Macaca fascicularis: one gene and its partner. The protein of the gene in region 2 interacts with the protein of the main gene of each other region in a pairwise test. Links are inferred from orthologs where the notes say so. Each region holds a gene or a part of one and is shown on either strand. Other genes may lie near its edges. The genes, in order: UBR1 and DNAJB11.

Region 1 (3,817 bases), on a different chromosome or scaffold from region 2:
AGGAAGCAGAATCTTCCACTCTACTTCCAGGCCTATGTAGCACCATCTCTCCCAAATGCTTGACAGGCACACTCTCCCGCTTCTTAGTTTTATCTTACTCTATCTGCCTACAAACAATAACTTAAAAATAAAATATTTTTGGTTTGAAAAGGCAGGGTTTGTAAGTTACTCTAGAAAGTAAGAAACCAGTTCTAGGTGTCATCTGCATTGATGAGGACATCTGAACCAAGGCAGCGCCTACTTAACTAGTCCTTGGGTAGCACTAAAGTATTCACATAGCCCAACTTACTGATTCTAACATTGTTCTAATTTGATTCAACATTAAGTAGAATTCTTACAAAGCAAAACAAGTTTTACTTAGAAAGATTGAAAAGGAATATAATCAATACATACCAGAGTAGGAACAGTAAACATCTGAACTGAAAGTGCAGTTATAGAGATACTTCTGTCATGATCATCACTGATATATTCTTTTTGTAGTTGTTTATAATACTGAAATATATAAGTAGAGAATCAATTATAAATCACTACTAAAGACCTTTAAAAAATCACAATTTTAATAACTGCTGCAAGTTTCTATCCATAAAATGTCAAGTAAGATAATTCCTATTTATTGAGGCAAGATATTATGATCAACAAAAATATCTTAGAAGGAGAATAACAAACAACAAATCAAGTAAAAATTCACCTACTCAATTTAGCAGAGATAGAAGTGGAAACTATTAAAACATACATACAGGTTAAAAAAAAAAAACAAAAAAACAGAGGACTGCAATGGTATAGTTTATCCTTTCTCCAAACAGAATCTGGGGCAACCTTTAGCAACTTCTACTCTAATGGTATTGGGCAGGGAATATATTCAAAGTATTTAACAACTGATATGACCCAGAAAAACCAACCAATCAGATTGAATCCAGCCTTAAACAGAATGGATGCTGGCTGCAAATAACTTCTTTCCCATACTGGTACATAACAGCTGCAAAACAACTCTGATAAACTGGGAGAACAAAAATGGTAATACATTCAGTCACATAACAGGCATCTATTATGTGCAAGGCACAAAGTTGGATACTTAACCTATTTTAAGTTGGATATTTTACCCTCCAAAATTCCTACAAAGTTTAAGGGGTAACCATGGTGTACAAAAAAAATCATCTAAGTAGGGAGATTAGCTTTTGTATAAGAAAACAAAATTTCATTTGAGATCACACATATGGTCCAATATTCTATATCTAAAGAGTTTTAGAAGAGAACATCTTAAGTTGCCATCACTGATGAAGGATAAGACATACAACAAATGTCTTAGTTACTTGTAAGTCTGCATATAAAATCCAGGGAATGCAGGTATCTTATCCCACAGTGTCATTTGCTTACAACAATCATTATTTCTTTCTCTGCTTCCAATTCCATCTTGGGTCCTATATCTATCTTAAGTCTTACAGAATTGACTGCAACTCAAAATCAGAGGAAATCAACAAGTATTACTGGATACCTTTATATAAGGCAAAATAAAAGATTCAAAGGAGTCCTTGATATGTATAACCTTGCAATCTAATTTGGTTGATAGACAAAAAGACACAGTAAGGTAAGAGATATATGATAGATTAATAAAACATTAAAAAGCTGTAAATTTTAGCCTCACATTTTAGCTTCCAACAATTAAGTAGAACCCTTGGCCACCTAATTTCTGCACCCCACTTTAGCATACACATCTGTTCTTCTTTCCTGCTATCCTTTATCAGTTAGTTACTTCTATTCTTATTGTAATTTTACAAACAGGCAAATAAATGACTAGGAAGACTGAATGCATATGTGAATGTGATAATCTCCCTTTGCTCTGGGTCAGTAGGTCATTTTCCACCTATCTCTTCTCTAAGAGCGCTGTTTCTATACAAGCAAATGACACTTGTGAAAATATTTATGTAATGTATGAGAACGAACTTTTTTTTTTTTGAGATAGGAGTCTCACTCTGTTGCCCAGACTAGGGTGTGGTGGCGCAATCTTGCCTCACGGCAACCTCCATCTCCAGGGTTCAAGCGATTTTCCTGCCTCAGCCTCCTGAGTAGCTGGGGCTACAGGCACCCGCCACCATGCCCAGCTAATTTCTGTATTTTTAGTAGAGATGGGGTTTCACCATGTTGGCCAGGCTGGTCTCGAGCTCCTGACTTTAAATGATCCACCCACCTCCGCCTCCCAAAGTGCTGGGATTACAGGGGTGAGTCAACCCTCAGGGCCAAGAATGAACTTTTGATAAAGAAATGAATCATAACATTTAATTTTGGATTCATAATTATCTGTTTCTATTAATTCATTTATAAAAACTGCCTATTTGTATTTATTGATATCTAATTTATAAATAATTACCTTCACAAATTCCATAGCAAAGAGTTTTTTGTATTCCATCTCCATAAAAAAACTGCTGAAGATCAATTCATGAAGGATCTTACGGGCACCTATAGATTATTTTGGGGAGGGTGGGGGAATGAGGGGAATCACCAAGGCAAAAACCAAAAACATTCCATCTATTAGAGTGGCAGAATATTATAAAATTATTTCACATGCAAACAGACCTCAAATATAAACAGTATTTATTGTATTAATATTTAATAACTAGAATTTAAAATACACACATATATTGCCTTTTCCCTTTTTTTCTGTACCCCTCCCACCACTTCATCTTACACTTCAATTGATTCTCTCTCAACCTTTTCATTCTTTTTCTATTTCACTCAAAAGTACTCTTACTCTGAACTTTTCCTTCTCCATGCTTTTAGCCTTTCTCTTGACTTTTACACTTTGTTCTTCATTTAGATTTTTACAATGAAAAGAGCTTTTTTTTTGCCACTCAACAATGGCATTACTACCTGAATTTATAGATACATGTATGTGTGTGTATGTGTGTGTGTGTGTATATATATATATATATATATATATATATGTATATACTCTTTTTGACTGGCTCTCACTAAATGAAAAGACTCTATAATTAAAAGATAACATCCCTGCGTTTTAACACCAAAGAATACATACTGACTGGTTAAACCTGATATTCACATGTAATACCTTATCAATCAAGATCACAGATTTAATAACTAATTTAATAAACAAAAGATATTACAGCTCCACTTTAAGATCATAATCTTCCTTTGCTTCCTGACAAAAAGCATAAGCAAATGTCTACTTACCTTTATAAAGCTTTGCATCCCAAAGCATTAACCTGCTTATGAGACAGGGATTCTCCGAGTCAGGTTCTTCTCTAAGGCATGCTTGGCAAAAGATCTGCCTAAAGTCACCTACAAACAAAAGAGGTCACACAATTACACAACTTGTATTCTTTTTCTTTTTACATAGAGATGAATCTCACTCTGTTGCCCAGGTTGGTCTTGAACTCCTGGGCTCAGGTGATCCTCCCGCCTCAGCCTCTCACAGTGCTGGGATTACTGACACAAGCCACTGCACTCAGCCATAATTTTTATTCTTATAATATTTATCCTAAAAATACATTTCCTATAACATGTGAAAAGACTAACATTAATCCTCCCACATTTGATGTAAAGAATAATTCTGTCAACATCAAAGACTCAACAGTCAACAAAAAGGTATTATTTGATACTATGCACTTGAAATAATATCTTAAGATATTATGCATTTGAAATGCAACCCTGAAAATTAATCAAAGTGTATAAACCAAAAAAAAAAAAAGAAAAACTGTATTTCATACTCGATGACATTTTAAAATTTGTGACTATAAAAAACACAGTATTTTATCAGAAACAAGAAAAACAGGAGGTATGCTTACTTGAATAGCTCATAATT
Region 2 (4,603 bases):
TTTAATCTAAGAGATCTTGGGATTCCTTCCTTTCAAGGTTTATGTCTTCCTAAAATACTTTTCAATTTGTTTTTAGCCTTCTCAATATATAAGAATTTAAACTTAAATTCGGGAGTTTTAGCTCTATGACTTTTAGTTCAACTAATTTTTTTCTGTGTCCATTTAGAAAATGAGAATAAAAATATGCCTAGCTCTAATGTATTTCCTGGTGTCCTAGTGAAGGTTAAATGAGATGATACAAATGGAGAGTGTTTTGGTCCCCAGATTAGAGGTTGGAAAATCAAATTAAAACTGTGCTTTGTTTGATCTACGTAAAAAAGAAATTTAACTGAATTAGTTACCAACATTTTTACAAGCAGAACTTATATAAAAGTCTAGATTTTCAACTTTTCTGGAAAAATTAAATCATCTAGGAACATACTGTTTGCATTACTATGACAAAAACTGGCTAGGGTTGAGGTAACAGCTGCTCCCTTGAAATGGGGCCAGAAGGCTTCAATTTGTCAAAGCCCTCAACAATCCTTATTGCTTCCCAACATGGAGGCAGAATATCTGCTGTCATGTTTTAATTTATACCTGCCCTGCATGTTATTTGTCTAGTTCATATGAACATGTAGGTTTGCAACTCTCATGAAGGCTTTCTTTTTATTTTTGGTCTAGCTCCCAAACTGACTGACTGACAGACCAATCAGTTGATCTACTTATTAATCTACCAATCTTTCATTTATTCTTTTGCAGCATTATTCTCCTTCTTAAAATAAATATTAATATCAAAAGGCAGAAAATGGTATCTACTAACATGAATGTAATATCTAGTACAATACAGTATCAAGTACTACTTTTACTTTCATCTACCATCTACTTTTAAATAAAAGTGACCTGGGCTGGGCGTGGTAGCTCACACCTGTAATCCCAACACTTTGAGAGGCCGAGGCGGGCGGGTCACTTGAGGTCAGGAGTTCGAGACCAGCCTGGCCAACATGGTGAAACCCTGTCTCTACTAAAAATACAAAAATTAACCAGGCGTGGTGACATGCACTTGTAATCCCAGCTACTCGGGAGGCTGAGGTGGGAGAAGTGCTTGAACCGGGGAGGCGGAGGTTGCAGTGAGCAGAGATTGCACCACTGCACTCCAGCCTAGGCAATAAAGTGAGACTCAGTCTCTAAATAAATATATGTGAGCTGAAAAGAGTATTTCTCTGTATTGTATATTTTTTCTAGAGCTACAGATTTTATTTGTTCTTTATCACTTTTCCTGACTCACCTCATAAGCAGCACCCAGATCCTGGAATTTCTCCTGGGCTTGTGGATCATCAGGGTTCCGGTCGGGATGAAGCTGCAGGGCTAGTTTCCTATAGGCCTTTTTAATATCCTTTATAGAGGCACTTCGAGGCACCCCCAAGATCTTATAGAAGTCTCGTCTGGGAAGTAGAGGGAGAGAATACTTCATCAGAGTTACATGTTACATTTTTAAAAGTAAAAGATTTATTTTTCCTCTACATTTAGGTTTGTGTCTGAGCAAAGAGGTACGAAAGTGAACGTTTATGTGACACATATACACACAAAGAATGACTAAAAAGAGAACACCAGAATTTGTAATGAATCTTATATATTGAAGTAATCACAGTAAGAAGCTACATACTTCTTTTTAGATTATTCAAAACATCTGTGGCATCTTCTTTCAGAACCACCTTCAGTCAAGAAAACCACTTCCTTATTTTATGGTCTCATGTTATCTTTAGGCAATAACCATATAATCAAATTAACTCTTCCCCCCTTTCTCTACATTTGCTCCAAATGATTTTGACTTTTCTAAAAGTCAAATAACACTCTCAAGGGATGATTTTCCTTATTTAAAAAGATTATGCCACATAAATGTCCTAACAGTAGCATTGCCAGAATGTTAAAGACGAAGCAACTTAAGACAATAAATAGCTCAAGAAGCTGGGAAGCACAAGGGCTCTCCAAAGGGTCTTCTTGTTCCCCTCCCCATCCAATTTCCTTCAGTCCCAACTCGGCCTGGCATCATCCACCCACTTTAATGTCAGCCCCCCAATGGCTCTTCGCAGGCTTGGCATAGAGCATCGTCCGCTTCTCCAGCTCAGCGGGGCACAGCAACCCACCTCTTTGATCAAACAAACGTCCATCCCCCCAACCTCAGCCTAGCACTGTCACTACCTTTCCTTACAGTCAGGCATCCCTCTTTCTTCCCCCAGCTCTACGTGACAGTGCTCCAGCTCACAACCACCTTCTTTCCCTCATCCCCCAAATGCCGTTGGCAATGCATCCAACTCCCACTCCTCCGGGCAAATCTAGCTCTACCAAAGACCTTCTCTGGACCTAACGCCTTCTCACTGGTGTCACCTACGGTTCGCTTCTCACCCCACTAGTCTGGCCCATACTACCCCTTCCTCCGCCACCCCGCCAACCCACAGCGATGCCCCTCTCCACTCCCTCAGTCTGGCAATACCACTTCCCCCACCCCCTCCCACCCCCTAGCAAAGGCTGACCCCCGGGCCCCGCTGTCTGCGAGTGTCTATTCCTCACCCGGCAATCACGGCCCCGATGAGGTACAGTAGCAACAGGCAAAAGGTGCTCAGGTTCTGCGGAGCCATGGTTCCTCTGTCCCGGGTCTTGTCCCACACACTCCTCACAGCCTCCTCCGCCGCCGCGTCGGCTCGCCAGCCCACCCAGCCCTGTGAGGCGCCTCACACTGGGGGGCGGGGGGGTCCCCTCCTTGGTCCGCAGAGACAGCTAGCTAGCCCCCTCCTCTTCCAGTCCACTTCCCGGGAGTCCCAAGTCCCGGTGAGAGAAGACCCCGGTAAGCGAGAGCCAATCGTTGCCCGGGACATCACACGCGGCCGGCGCCTGAAAGCCAATCAGCGCAGTACACTTCACCTCCGAGGCGGCACGGGTAGCCAGTTAGGCTTCAGAACTGCAGTCGCAGATCTTGACCAATTAGAAGAGGAGACGTCAGAGGGTCGCGCCGCTGCAGGAACCCGCTCTGCCCGAGCTACCCCGAGTCGTAGAAAATTACGTAATGGTAGGGGGCTGGTCCGAGTAAGGGCACCTGAGGTACACGAAATCCTCCCCGACTCACCCACTTCCTCGAACTTTCCACCAATCAGGAGGCTCCTCCCCAGCACCAACCAATTGTGGGAGAGAAGTTTTCTCTGTGTTTCAAGTTTGGAATTTCATTCATACCCAGCTACGCGCCGAATGCGGGAGCAGAATGAGGGAACAGCGGCAGAATGAGCGGGGACGGTTATTCCCCAACTGTACATCGGACGCATTGCTTAGGACTCTTATTTTACGTTCTCCAAGCAACTCCATAAGTCTCGGAAAGGCGACAGTGATGATTGACCGACTTAAGTGCGGATTCGGCTTGCACCGCTTCTCAGTGGTGAGACTCCTTACTCCTTCCCTCCTCCCAAGTCTGAGCCTAAGTTTCTTTATCAACAAAACTAAGGCAAAGCACTTATTGGCAGTTCTGTGAATTTTAACAGGGAAAAAAAATCTGTAAATCGTCTGGCGTATAGTAAGCAGGCAATGAATAAAAACCATTATTACTGTTCGAGCATAAGTCTTTGATTCCCCGTCTTCCCCCCCGATTTTGCTCATCACAGTTACACAACACCTAGTTGATCAGGACAAAGCTCTAGGTGTTTTTACTCCTTTCATATATAAGCTATCCAAATCTTTACCTCTGAACTATACTTGAATCTGTTCACTACATCTCCATTACTAGGTCTCTGGATCACAGTGTATCTCTCACCTGGCCAGGGCCTCCTAACTGGCCTCCTTGTCTCCACTCTTAATATCTTCCTTAATACCTTCATATATGTTGCTCATCCCTGTCCCTCACTCCTTTTTTTTTTTTTTTTTTAAGGGCCGGGCGCGGTGGCTCACGCCTGTAATCCCAGCACTTTGGGAGGCCGAGATGGGCGGATCACCTGAGGTCAGGAGCTTGAGACCAGCCTGGCCAACATGGTGAAACCCCGTCTCTACTAAAACTACAAAAATTAGCAGGGTGTGGTGGCGAGCGCCTGTAATCCCAGCTACTCGGGAGGCTGAGGCAGGAGAATTGCTTGAACCTGGGAGGTGGAGGTTGCAATGACCTGAGTTCCTGCCACTGCACTCCATCCTGGGCGACAGAGTGAGACTCCATTTCAAAAAAAAATAAATACATAAAAAATAAAAGTCAAATCATGTCACTCCCCTGTTTAAAAGCCTGGAATGGCTCTTCATTTGCACTTAGAATAAAATCCCAGCTCTATGCTAGTTTACAAAGCCATTTATGCTTTGTCCTCTCACCTATTATGCTCCTAACCATGTTCCAGCAAAACTTGCTTCCTTTCTTTTTTGTATACACCAAGCACATTCCTGCCGAAGGCCTTTGTGTTAGCTGTTCCCTTTGCCTGAAACGCTGTACTCTCCCTCATGTCTTACCATGGGTGATTCCTTCTTTAACTCATGTATCAGCTTAAAGGTCACCACCTCAGAGAAGACTTCCCTGACCAATCAATCAAAATTAGCCCCTACTGAGCTCTTACTCTTACACCACCCTGTTTTCTTTTTTCTTTTTTTTTTTTCTTCCTGAGAC

Evidence for each region.
Region 1: the proteins of DNAJB11 (region 2) and UBR1 interact in a two-hybrid assay, tested with the Homo sapiens proteins (2 studies listed by BioGRID and IntAct). The link is inferred for Macaca fascicularis from reciprocal best matches to the Homo sapiens genes DNAJB11 and UBR1.

The regions. Positions count from the first base shown.
Region 1 is NC_088381.1:19,657,557-19,661,373, forward strand, and holds part of UBR1 (E3 ubiquitin-protein ligase UBR1), read right to left. Parts: coding exon 3,801-3,817; intron 3,295-3,800; coding exon 3,187-3,294; intron 2,455-3,186; coding exon 2,366-2,454; intron 493-2,365; coding exon 394-492; intron 1-393. UniProt on the Homo sapiens protein: E3 ubiquitin-protein ligase which is a component of the N-end rule pathway. Recognizes and binds proteins bearing specific N-terminal residues that are destabilizing according to the N-end rule, leading to their ubiquitination and subsequent degradation.
Region 2 is NC_088376.1:98,516,677-98,521,279, reverse strand, and holds the start of DNAJB11 (dnaJ homolog subfamily B member 11), read right to left. Parts: upstream 2,824-4,603; 5' UTR 2,616-2,823; coding exon 2,548-2,615; intron 1,422-2,547; coding exon 1,265-1,421; intron 1-1,264. UniProt on the Homo sapiens protein: As a co-chaperone for HSPA5 it is required for proper folding, trafficking or degradation of proteins.